Linked DNA regions of Drosophila melanogaster. The protein of the gene in region 1 interacts with the protein of each later gene in a pairwise test. Each region holds a gene or a part of one and is shown in the gene's direction. Other genes may lie near its edges.

Evidence for each region. Proteins that work in one complex are often made in the same cells at the same time.
Region 2: the proteins of Taf11 (region 1) and NC2beta interact in binary tests that used the Drosophila melanogaster proteins (3 or more experiments, as listed by UniProt).
Region 3: the proteins of Taf11 (region 1) and Taf13 interact in a two-hybrid assay, tested with the Drosophila melanogaster proteins (2 studies listed by BioGRID).

The regions. Positions count from the first base shown.
Region 1 is NT_033779.5:9,760,800-9,765,940, reverse strand, and holds Taf11 (TBP-associated factor 11), read left to right. Parts: upstream 1-2,678; 5' UTR 2,679-2,766; coding exon 2,767-3,035; intron 3,036-3,097; coding exon 3,098-3,419; 3' UTR 3,420-3,517; downstream 3,518-5,141. Other genes in the region: ppk18 (pickpocket 18), read left to right, coding at 1-162, 216-325, 382-584; und (uninitiated), read right to left, coding at 744-1,171, 1,293-2,105, 2,207-2,312; zf30C (zinc finger protein 30C), read right to left, coding at 3,800-4,376, 4,442-5,141. UniProt on the Drosophila melanogaster protein: The TFIID basal transcription factor complex plays a major role in the initiation of RNA polymerase II (Pol II)-dependent transcription.
Region 2 is NT_033779.5:15,005,074-15,009,038, forward strand, and holds NC2beta (negative cofactor 2beta), read left to right. Parts: upstream 1-2,739; 5' UTR 2,740-2,844; coding exon 2,845-3,396; 3' UTR 3,397-3,465; downstream 3,466-3,965. Other genes in the region: DCTN5-p25 (dynactin 5, p25 subunit), read left to right, coding at 752-799, 888-1,187, 1,245-1,466; Ankrd49, read right to left, coding at 1,572-2,083, 2,133-2,268; THG (tRNA-histidine guanylyltransferase), read right to left, coding at 3,609-3,965. UniProt on the Drosophila melanogaster protein: Bifunctional basic transcription factor. Activates transcription of DPE (Downstream Promoter Element) containing promoters while repressing transcription of promoters which contain TATA elements.
Region 3 is NT_033779.5:20,092,588-20,096,396, reverse strand, and holds Taf13 (TBP-associated factor 13), read left to right. Parts: upstream 1-2,547; 5' UTR 2,548-2,628; coding exon 2,629-2,673; intron 2,674-2,736; coding exon 2,737-3,079; intron 3,080-3,150; coding exon 3,151-3,173; 3' UTR 3,174-3,285; downstream 3,286-3,809. Other genes in the region: nesd (nessun dorma), read right to left, coding at 232-394, 458-1,958, 2,044-2,188; Pyroxd1 (pyridine nucleotide-disulfide oxidoreductase domain 1), read right to left, coding at 3,286-3,809.

The DNA.
Region 1 (5,141 bases):
CTACAGTGACTTCGCCTACCTGCAGAACAAGGAAGAGAACTTGGTCCAGAGGCAGTGCGAGCACTGTTTGCCCACCTGCAACGGAGTTAGCATGAGTATCACCACCAACGTGGCTCCTTTGAGACGGACTTATAATAGCAGTGGTTACTTTACCGGGTTGCTGTAAGTGATGTACCACAATTTCTTTGATAAATAATGAATATCGAATATTTTAGAAAGGGATTGACCAACGAGCGACCATTAGCCATTATAAAGCTTTTCTTTAAACTGCGCTTTGCCCAAGCCACAAAATCTCAAATGGTTAGCAGTTGGGTTGTTCTGCTAAGTGAGTACAGTAAATAACTAAGACGAGTAGTTAAAAAATATTAACTAACCCTTTAGATCGCTTTGGAGGCATTCTCTCGCTTATGTACGGTTTCAGCATAGTCAGTTACATAGAGATCCTGTACTATCTTACAGGCAAAGGATTTGTCTACATATACAGGTCATTCTTATTAGATAAGGAGCCTATCAATCACAACTATTCACTTTACTGGCGTGAGCTCCGTAGCAATCTGCCAAGACAAGAACAACTTCGAAAATAATCTCACTCCGCTTATATTCTGAGCATAATACATTGTATATATAATTCGGTTGGCGCATGCTCACAAAAAATCAACAATAGAATGAACTTATATCAAAAACCGTATATAATGCAAGCCATACATCGCCGAAAATCGGTCACTGTCCAGTTCCTCATCCCACTAGTAGTCGTCGCCACGGGAAACGACTTCTTTGCAGGTGGGTCGCAGCATAATTGTGTGTTCGTACTGAGCCGTGTAGCAGCCCTTAATGTCGCACAACGGCGGATAAGCCTCCACAATGCCCTTGTCGCACAGATCCTTGAGAGCCATCTGGTACTTCGTGGCACCGGCGCGGTCCAGCCAACGCTTGCAGAAGGCCAGGGTGCCGAAGTTTTTGTTGATGGTGCCAAGCAGCTGCTTGGATGACTGCAGGCGCAGCGGCACAAACGGCAGATCAAAGTTCTTCATGTAATGCGAGCAGTCCATATCGTCATGGACCAGACCGCGACCCGTCGAGCCGAACGTCTCAATGGCGTAGAATTCATCCTCCTCCATGCGAGTGGACTCTCCGCCTTTCACAATGGGCACCGTTTTTCCAGCATGAATGCCTGAGAATTTAATTTTAGACTTCATTAAGTGTTTGCACAAATCACAATAAATTTAAACAAAAAATATTAAGGAAAGCATAAGCATATTTAAAATATTTATAATAAATAGATTTTTGCTTACGGTACGGGCTGATGGAGTGTCCATTTAAGTTGCGAATCGCCTTGATGGGATATGTTTTGCCGTCCAACTCGATCTCGTACGACTCCATGACCTCCTGGATAGCGGCGCCGATGTCGCATAGGCGCACATCGATGCCCGCCTCTCTGATGCCCGTGTTGGTGGCCTCCTTGACGGCCTGCAGCAACTTGTCGTACTTGTTGTTGAAGGTCAGGGTGAAGGCGCAATCAATGATCCGCCCCTTGATATGGGTACCAAAATCAATCTTGCACACATCGTCGTACTGCAGTACAGTGGGGTCTCCGGCATTGGGCGTGTAGTGGGCGGCGCAATGGTTAAGAGAGCAACCAGTCGGGAAGGCCAAACCAGCCTCCAGACCATTTTCGCCGATCAGGCGCCGAGCAGTGTTCTCCAGCTCCTCGCAGATTTGGATCATGGTCATGCCCGGCTTAATGTAGCGCTGCATATACTGACGCGTCTGACGATGGGCCTCAGCCGCCTGGCGCAATTCCTGGTAGATGTCCGTGTTGATACGGTCCAGAGCACGCTTCTCCTCCGATGTGAATCGGTCCTTGGCCGTACGATCGTCGGGCATATCCTTGGGCGTGGGGTGCTCCACGATCTCGCCCTCGGGGAAGTTGCCGTCCGGATAAAGCTTAGCAATGGGTATGGTGGGCGGATCAGTCTGACCGCTTTTCTTGCCCTTGTTCCCCTTCTTCTTTGCCGGCTGAGCGGCCGGTGTTGCCGGTTTGGCATCTCCGTTTGTGGTCAGCTCCTCGTCGCCGCCTTCTCCGGAGGCTATTTTGGCTGCCGCTTCTGTGGGCAAGTGGTTAGTTCAGTGGGTGGTGGGTGGTTGAGGCGGAGAGGGTCGTGCAAATGCAATTACCACAGTGCACTGCTCGCATGAGGTCACTCACCTTGGCGGAGCTTCTTGTTGTTCGGCTTGGGCTTCTTTTGTTTCTTGACCTCCTCGCCGATCTCGGGCGTTGCCGCCTCCACATTCAGAGTCTCGGTTGCAGACATTTCGCAGTGCCTTGGTTGCTGGCTGAACGATGAAATAAACGAAAATGTAGCGCGCACTCTTGCCTGGCGATGGCGATGCGGAGAAAAGAACAAAAACACGAGGTGTCAGAGGCCAGTGCTGTAAAACGTGCTGTGGACTATCGGAACCAGTGAATGTTCAATTTGAAATTTACATAATTTGACTTTGAGCACTAATTTGAAGAAAAAAAAAACACTACAAAAATAAAAGTTTATCGAATATTGTATATTTATATATTTATTATTTATTAAAATCTCAAAGCCACCTTATAAACAACTATGATATACCTTTAATATATTTAATCCGATATTTTGAATTATATTCATCTATTATGTGGTGCGGAACTTTTGAGTGTTGCAAAAAGCGAATATGGTGCAACTCCATCCCTGGTTGATTTTGTTTATTATTCGCTGGTGCTTTTCAAATTTCATTTAAATGGACGAAATCCTCTTTCCCACGCAGCAAAAAAGCAACTCCCTAAGCGACGGCGACGATGTCGACCTGAAATTCTTCCAGTCGGCCTCCGGCGAGCGGAAGGACAGCGACACCTCGGATCCGGGAAACGATGCGGATCGTGATGGCAAGGATGCGGATGGGGACAACGACAACAAGAACACGGACGGAGATGGTGACTCTGGCGAGCCGGCGCACAAAAAGCTCAAGACGAAGAAGGAACTGGAGGAGGAGGAGCGCGAACGAATGCAGTAAGTTAGCTTAAAGCGATTCGAAGGGGTAATCCTATAAAAACTATTTTATTCCACTCCAGGGTTCTCGTTTCCAACTTTACGGAAGAACAGCTGGATCGCTACGAAATGTATCGTCGCTCTGCCTTTCCCAAGGCCGCCGTCAAGCGTCTAATGCAAACTATCACCGGCTGTTCCGTGTCCCAGAATGTTGTGATAGCCATGTCCGGCATTGCGAAGGTCTTCGTCGGCGAGGTTGTGGAGGAAGCCCTCGACGTGATGGAGGCCCAAGGTGAATCCGGTGCCCTGCAGCCCAAATTCATACGAGAGGCAGTGCGACGACTGAGGACCAAGGATCGGATGCCCATAGGCAGATACCAGCAGCCCTATTTCAGACTGAACTAGCGAGTCGAGACATTAAGAAATATAGTTTGTAAGGCTGTTAGTCAATATAAAAATACATAAACAAGTAAAAAGTAAATAAATATAAAGATTTTTTTAACAAATCCCATATAATTAATTTTCTCTATTACGAATAAATTCCGAAACGTGTTTTTATAAGGAAATTTATTTTTCTTAAATGTTTTTGACAGGTCCGTATGGCGTTAAACCTTCATCTACATCAATTTTATGTAGCTTATTTACGTTCAATGTTATTTAATTAATCCAGTCATTAAGTAGATATTATTATGTAGTTGTCATCCCATTTGTTGTACAGTAGAATACGCATCCGTTTACAAAAGAATCTTTATTGAGTGGGATCGCTAAATGAATGTGTTCCGAAGTTACTCCATTCGCCGGGCCTCGGCTTGCATGGTCTGCAGTACGATGTGTGGCACCAGGTGTGTGGAGGCGTAGTTCAGGGGCACCGTGGCCAATGGCGCTGAGCCGTCAGATGGGAAGTTGAGCTCCTGTGCCATGGGCATGTCCCTGTCGATGACATCCTGGGCGATCAAGGTCTTGGTCTCCTCGTACTCCATGCCCGCCTCCGGCTTAGCGCCCATCAAGAGTTTTCCGCGCTGCACGCCCATGTACTGGGTGGCCTTGGCATTCAAAGGCAACTGGCCGCAGGTATCGGCATGCACCTTGCGATGTGCCTGCAAGTTGGAGATGCAAGTGAAGCGCTTGCCGCAGTTATTGCACAGGAAACGCTTAATGCCCGTGTGCACGGTCATGTGGGTGAGCAGACTCTCCCTGTACGGATACTCCTTGGGACACAGGTGGCACTTGTACGGCTTGTAGTCCGTGTGGCGCGTCTTCAAGTGCGACTTGTATTGCGCCTTCACCTTGAATGTTTTGCCGCACTTATCGCACTGGTACGGAGTGTCTGCCTTGTGAAGGAGCATGTGCGTCTTGAGAATACTGCGGAAAGGAAGATGCGTTACTAACAGTCTTAGAATAAACATTCAAACACAAATAGTTATTACCCAGCGGTGGACAAATGTTTGCCGCAAACGCTGCAGCCGTAGAGCGGTAGACGGCCGCAGTCAGAACGAACGTGGTCAGAGAGCGATGTGCGTCCGGTGAACTTCTTGCCGCACTTGTCGCAGATGAGGTTGCGCTGCTGGCTGCGCGGCTCCTTCTTCGAGTGGAAATTGCGTTCGTGGTTCTTGAGGCTGTCGTGTCCGGTCATGTACTTGTCGCATTTTTCGCAGTAGAGCAGTTCCTTGTGCTGGGCCCTAGCATGCTCAGTGGCCTGTTCCTTGGTGGCGAAGAAGAGGTTGCAGTAGCATGGGCACTTGAAAGTCAGCTTGCCATCTTCGCCATGCACCTTCATGTGGGTGACCAAGCGCTTCTCCACCAAATAGATCTTGCTGCATATGGGACACTTAAAGACTTCCTCGTCCAGCTTAGCATGGACGTCCACGTCCTTAAAGATCTCTTTCATTTCCGCCTCATTTAACTTGTGGTCGTCGCGCAAATGCTTTTCGTAGGGCTTGCGGATGTGGTAGATTTTTACGCAGTGAGGACACTTCCAGGATTTTTCCATCTTGTTGATCATCTTAAGGCGCTCCTTTAGCTCCTTTTTGCTGATCTTAGCTACGCGTTTTGGTGTACCCGATGAATCGTCAGGCGAGGGCGATCTAGGTGCGTTTCGTTTGCGATACTTTCTCTTGACCACAGGTA
Region 2 (3,965 bases), 5.2 Mb from region 1:
GACATTCTTTAAGCGTAGTTAAATCATATATGGAAAAGCCCGCAAATCCATAGCTTTGCTTACTTCTGCAAAATGTGGAGAGCCAAACGAAGAAAATAGTAATGAAAACATAAACAAATTAAAATGCTGCCAGAGCTGCCGCCGCTTGAGGCATTCGAGCGTGCCCCGCGAAGGTTAAGCCAATGGGCTGGGTCTCGCGATTATTAAGGAGCGCATTAATTGGAACTTCGTTGGAGCGTCGGACAGCGGGAAGTTAAAAGTTTTGGAAGGTCGGTGCGTCAATGGGAGGCGGCGGAGCTTACTGCGCTTTCAGCCAACAGCTGTGTGAGTTCAATTATGCACATTCTTTTCGTTCTGCCAGCAGATTTGCGCCTGAAGAGCAGCTGTCTAGATGTGCATCGTGATTTGAGAATTATGGCTAAAAGTTCAGGGTCAAAGTGGGTTAAACACCTGGGTTTTCTATGCACCCGCCAAGGCAGCTTGTAATTTGTAAAACTTCGCGTGTGTCTAATTAATAATTAGATGTAATGCCAAGCTCTTCAATGGAAAATCAATGGAATGCAACGAATTTGAATTCAAATTTGGCGCCAAGCTAATGTGGTTTAGGTCTTGACTTAACGCGTTACATTTGGTATTTTACCAACTATACACTGCGACCACACACATCAGCTGGTCGAAATATTTTCGCAAGTGCAGTTTCACTATTTTATTTACTTTACTTAAAAATAGTTTTTAAAACTGCTGATTAATCATGGAAATTCCGGATACCTACTACAGCAAAGATGAATACGTAGAGACGGCAAGTATTCGCACTGACTTCCGCTTTGGGATTCCATTTAAGCACTAAGAGATGACCTCATCATGACCAAAAAACTGATTGTTTACAGGCTTCGGGTAACAAAGTTAGTCGCCACACGGTGCTCTGTGGTTCCCAAAACATTATTTTGAACGGCAAGGTGATCGTACAGAGCGGCGCCATCATTCGCGGCGATCTGGCCAATGTCCGGACGGGAAGATATTGTGTGATTGGCAAGAACTCCGTCATCCGACCGCCGTACAAACAATTCAGCAAGGGAATCGCCTTCTTTCCCATGCACGTCGGTGAGCATGTTTTCGTTGGCGAAGGAGCAGTCGTCTCGGCGGCCACCATTGGATCCTATGTGTACATCGGCAAGAATGCCATCATAGTAAGCTATTACTTATTGTTATACCCTTGTAATCCATTTACTTTTACCATCTTTCAGGGCCGTCGCTGTGTTTTGAAAGACTGCTGTGTAATTGAGGATGGGGCTGTCCTGCCGCCAGAAACTACCGTGTCCAGCTACATGCGTTACACGGCGAGGGGAACCATCGAGGGTGGCCAGGGCAATCCGTATTTTGTGCCCGCCGCCATGCAGGACGAGATGATCAACTACACTAAGTCATTCTACGAGCATTTCGTGAGGGCTCCAGCGCCAGCCAGCTGAAAATCGTGGTGTCTACCAATTCCATCGACAGAAAACATTATTTATGAAATAAACATATTATATTAGTTATTCTATAAGTATGCGCATAGTTTGACTATTAAGTGATTAATCTATCAGTCCCGTTTCGCAGTCGTAGGCTTCCTCGCCGGACTCGAAAATGGGAAAACTCATGCCAGTACGACGGGCAATCACCGAGGCCAGTTCCTCGGAGTTGTTCTCCTTGCGCGGCTGGATGTATCGGTCCAGCAGAAGGACCGTGGCCGTATTCCGACAATTGGACACAGTGGCGGTTATGTGAAGCGGCGTCTGCTTGCCGTCCGATTCCGCATTTACATCGGCGCCAAACTGCAGCAGCAAATGGGCGCAATCCGCATTGTTCCACTTGCAGGCGGAGTGCAATGGCGTCCATCCCAGCTCCGTGCGGGCGTTGGGATTGGCATGGTACTGCAGCAGCAACTTGGCCATATCCACAAAGTTATTATAGGCAGCTCGGTGCAGCGGCGTGTATCCGTCGTTATCCTTGGCGTTCACGGTGTCTGCGTCCAGTTTTAGGATTTCCCGCACCTCGCTGATGCGGTTCTCGTTCACCGCCCACAGAATCATGCGTTCAATGCTGCCTATGATGATGTTTAATTAAACTATTTCTCTAAAATGTATTCTACTTACTTTGTGGGTTCTTGTCCTCTTCGATCAGTTCGTCGGCATCGTCGTCCCAGCCGCTCACGAACATTCCGCGCGGCACTTTGGCGTGGCGCAGCTTCTCCACCTGTGATTTTTCATCATCGGAATCGTAGTCCCCCATTTTGTGGTAATATATTAATAATAAGCCGGAATTTAAACAGCTCAACTTTTTGTTTTCTATTTCTCAAAGTGACCGTTGCTTAGCCGCTTAAGTACACTTAAAAAAATACTAAACACTTAAAAATATACTAAACGAAGAGTGGAGTTTTAAAAAGAACAGTACATTTGGTTTTTCAAATAAAAAAAAAAAAACTATTTATATAAATAATGGTAGGAATTATAAAAAAATTATTCTTTTATTTGAAAAGTCTGCCATTTAAAAAAAGGCTGTATTATTTATAATATTCATCAAAATCAAATTAATCAAAGATTATTAAGCCATTAAATTTGTGTTGAATACATAAATGATATACATCATTTTATATCATCATTTATATATTTTATTTTTAGCTATATATGCTTTATATAGTTCATTTCAATCAATTAATGATTTCATTTATTTACAAAAACAATAATTTTTCGATTACATTTTTCTGTTAGCAGTAAACGGCCACTCTAGCACACTATACTAGTAAATCCGAGAAAAACATCTGCTTCCAAGTTTGTTTGTTTGTTTGTTCCTTGAAACCAGGACGCCATGTCGAATCCGCAGGAAGAACTACTGCCGCCCAGCGCCGAGGACGACGAGCTGACCCTGCCACGGGCCAGCATCAACAAGATCATCAAGGAGCTGGTGCCCACGGTGCGGGTGGCCAACGAGAGTCGCGAGCTGATACTCAACTGCTGCTCAGAGTTCATTCATCTGATCAGTTCGGAGGCCAACGAGGTGTGCAACATGCGCAACAAGAAGACGATAAACGCAGAGCACGTCCTGGAGGCGTTGGAACGCTTGGGTTTTCACGACTACAAACAAGAGGCGGAGGCCGTTCTGCACGACTGCAAGGAGGTGGCAGCCAAGCGAAGGCGCCAGAGCACGCGCCTAGAGAACCTGGGCATTCCGGAGGAGGAGCTGCTGCGCCAGCAGCAGGAGCTGTTCGCCAAGGCACGCGAGGAGCAGGCGCGCGAGGAGCAGCAGCAGTGGATGAGCATGCAAGCGGCAGCAATGGTGCAGCGACCACCGCTGGCAGACGGCTCCGTTGCCAGCAAGCCAAGTGAGGATGACGATGACGATGACGACGACGACTACTAGTAGGAAATAGTCTTTCTATGAGCTTAGTGTAGATTTAATCTTAAAATATATGCCATAAGTTGAACTTTCAACTATTAGCTACTCTTCATTACGGATCATCCGTTTGTCCTTCACTCCAGCAGCCTGGGCACCGCATCCTCAATCTCCGAAACGACTTCCTTAGATGTATCGTAACTTTAATCTTTAAAAATGCAAGACTATTCGTTATTATATCAGCTGGTACCAGCCAGATTTTGTGGCTCCTCCGCCTCATTGTCATCCTTGCCATTTATTTGCATCTCCACCAATCGGGGAAAAGTTTGTGGTGCGTCGTATGTGCCTGGCACATATTTTCCCAATATTTCGGTGTGTTCCTTCCAGAACTGCGAAGATATCAGATCCTCGTGCAGCGGCACCACGGCCTGCCTGCTCTTCTCACCCAATATCACGCGTTTTCTCAGCAGAATCGTTCCCTTTCTGTACATTGCCGGCAGATTGTTGTAATTTATCCCGAATTCCTGGAAGAGCAGCTCATTTTTGTCCGCCGAAAAGGTGCCACGGAGTTTCGCCTCGGCTTGCTGGTTCGTCAG
Region 3 (3,809 bases), about 10 Mb from region 1:
TGTTAAAGGAAGTATTTTCTGGAAGACGCTCTGAGACGGTGTAATATTATATATTAACTAACTTTATCAAGAGTTAAAACCAATATGTAAGGTTTCGAGAATAGGACATCCAACGAAATTGCAACATCGAGACACTGGAGTTTGCCCGTATTATTTATTGACGCATATCAATAGGATTTTCGGTTAGCGCTAAATTTTAATTTATAAACACTATGTGTACACAATGTACCCCTAGACCAATTGAATATTTTCCTTGTTCTCCCCTCCGAGTTCGTCCTCGAGGAGTTGTTGATGCGATCGCTGAGCCAGCAGCTGACCGGATTCGTTAAAAACTCGCACATTTTTCTTGCAGTTGTAAAAGCTGCAATTACCTAGCAAGTTGTCCTCGTTGTAACTAAAAAATAAGGATATAAGTGGTAATTTTTGAACATGTAAAATACAACGTATTTTCATTTACCGCTGAAGTTCGCTGAATTTGTTTAGAACCAGGACCTTCTCTGTTCTTTGCTCTCCCAATACGAAACCATCGGCCAGGATTCCTAAAGCACAGTTTTCAAAACTGCACTTGCTACCCTGCAGATTAACCGAAGCGGATTTCTCCAGCAACTCCAGTCCAGTCTTGCATGTTTTAAACTGGACGCTTCCCAGCTCAGCACTAGATTTCGGTCGCATCGATACACCCACAGCAAAGTTTTCAATTAGGCAACTTTTGAGTTCCACGCTGGCGCCTGGCATGCAGACAATACCCTCTTGGGTGCTGGAGCTCCCATCGCCCAGCAAGCGACACCCTCGCATGGTCAACGTTCCGTTGCGCAGCAGGATCCCTCTACGGACATGACGACAATCCAAAACCAATTCCGACAAGGTATAGTCGCCATCAATGACCAGCAGGGTGCTATCCTCATCGCTCGAGCACACCACAGGCAGCAGGGAAAGATCTGCAGCAGGACTTAGTATGGCTTCCGGCTGAGTGAGTCCCCTTAGGCTGCCATTATCGTTGAGGTGCTCCAAGAATTTGATTGTATGCTCGCCGGGCGAAAGTAGAATATCATCGTTGCTCTGACAGATGCTCAGGACATCCTGCAACGTATTGGACAGCTGCACTTTCGATTCCGGCTTGACCAGCGTCTGGGCCAGCTTTAGCAGTTCCAGCTGCTGCTGCAGTTTTCCCGGCAAGGTTACCACATGGCTTATGGAATTCCGCTCTACCAAGAGATCCTCCGATTGTCTGGTTCTTCCTGAGGAGCAGCGAAGCCGCTTGAGGCTATTAGACTGTAGCTCGCTGTAGGCTCGCCTCATTTCAGGATTTTCAAGGATCTCGAACTCGCTCCTTATGATGGCCATGCGCAGGTGCAGGCACATCAGATCTGTAACCGGCAGACTGGACACATTGAGACAGCCATTGGCACTGCCCGCTTTAGATTGCTTTCTAGCGGGCTCTGCTACGCTGTCATTGAGTTCCACAGCCTCGTCGTCGCTCTCGGCATCACTGAGATCCAGTTCCAAGTAGTCCAGACGCTGCTGAATGTATTTGGCTTCGGCGAGCAGGGTGCGCATGTGCAGGGCCAACGGACGGGGCAGTCGGTTCTTGCTGAGATCGCACACTAGTTGGATACGAGCCTGCAGATGCTGTTGCACCCAGTCGCGATCATCGTCGTAGTCCTTGTCCCAAGGCATCCACACATGCGTATAGAAGAACCGCAAACGATCGATGCATTCAGCGGTGGTATCCACATTTAGAGCTGCGTTCTCCTGCTGCACAGTGGGCCACAGCTCCACTAGCGATACTTCATTACTCTCCGGCAGGTGGACATCGCTATCCTGCACGGCGGTCACCACAAATACCGCCTTGAGCTCGTCAAAGATCACCTGCTCCACGTAGCCGTAAACAATGGTGGGATAGCGTAGTTTCAGATCCTCGCAAATAACGCGTGGAATTTTCCAAATTGCCTGCCATCCTATATATCCCATATAGATACATATATGTATATATAGTTGCCTTTTGTGCACGAGTGTGTGTGTGTGTGTGTGTGGGTGGCTTACCTGCAGGCTCAATTTTTAATTCGACGTAGGATTTCCACTCGGATCGAACCTGGGATGCGGGCATCACGGCTCCCTCCCACGAAAGCACCGCCTCCGCTTCTTTTAGGCGCTCCAAGTACGATTTCTCAAAGGTAAACACTTCCATTTTCCCCTTTTGAATGAACGATGTGTTCGTTTATAAAAATTTTTGAAATGCGTGTGCAAGCAAAGGCTTCGATAACGATTGTTCGGGCGGCGTTATCGCGCAGTGCAACCATGTGTTGAGTTTGGCTAGATTTTTACTCGTGGCTATAATTTAAGCACCTATATAAATATATTTTAGATGTATTTTGTATGGTCTTGAATAAATTCACAATTTATTTAATCACGAACCAAAATATTTAGATTTGTTGACAAGCTCAGATATTTGAAATATGAGCTCGCAATCTAGCTATTTCGAGTTAGTCTCAGTATCAGCTACCTTCTCAACCAATTATCGCCAGCAGTGCTGCAAGTATCGATTACAATGCTCATTCAATGCGGTGTTACTCGCGTAAACACAAAATTTGTATACAAATTCAACGTTTTAATTGAAGTCTGAGCACTATGGCCTCAAATAGCATGCCAGAGGAGAATTTCGAGGGCGGTGATGTAAGGAAATATTATAAGCACCAGTTCCAATGTCTCCGATTCTAAGCTAATCACCATTTTTAGTTCAACTTTGATGACGACGCGGAGGATGACCAATTTGTGGCTACCAACTCAGGACGAAAGCGCCTATTCAGCAAGGAGCTGCGCTGCATGATGTTCGGATTCGGAGACGACAAAAATCCATACACGGAAACCGTAGATCTGCTGGAAGACCTGGTCATTGAGTATATAGCTGAGACCACTCACCGGGCAATGGAGATCGGTCGAACAGGCCGTGTTCAAGTCGAAGACATTATCTTCCTGGTGCGCAAAGATCCCCGAAAGTACGCTAGGGTGAAGGATCTTCTGACCATGAACGAGGAGTTGAAAAAGGCACGAAAGGCCTTCGATGAGATCAAGTATGTGGGTGAGTATTGCAAAAGTTCGACATTTCCTAAGAACTACATGTAATCAACCATTTAAACGAATAATTCCCAGGCACCGAAGGCAAGCTCAAATGACAGCGGTCAAAAAAAGCCACACCAAATCCAGGTATAAGCCAAACCTAGCAGTTAGCTCCAAGATGCGAATTATTTTTAATGTCTTTAATACTCTAAGCTAGCGCATAATAAACTAATCAAAATAGTCTTCAATGTCAATGTCGGGATTAAGAATATCATCGCCATAGGGCTCCAAATCAATGCCGTTCAGGATGAGGTTCTCGCAGGTCTCTGCGAGATCAGTGTTGCCGATTAGCATTGCTCCCCGTAGTCTGCCATTTTGAAGCACAAACTTGATGTATTCCTTATTTCTCGTGCAGCGCACCAGAATTTCGTAGTCCCTGCCCAAATCCTGACCATTAAAGCGTCCCAGCAGGACAACAGGATATCCGAAAAGTTTGGTTACGTGGCCAAAGAGCTCGAAGCAGAAATCCTGGTACACGCTTTCACCTTCACTGGCAGCCGCCATACTCCTGCCCGCCATGGAGCCCATTTGGCGAGCCTGAGTCCACAGGCGCATCTGGAACCAGTGCATTGCGGCTGGCCAGTTGGCCGTGCACACATCACCGGCCGCAAAGACATCCACCAGATTCGTACGCATCATTTCATCCACCGATATGCCACCATCGTCGGAAAATTGAAGTGGCGAATCACACG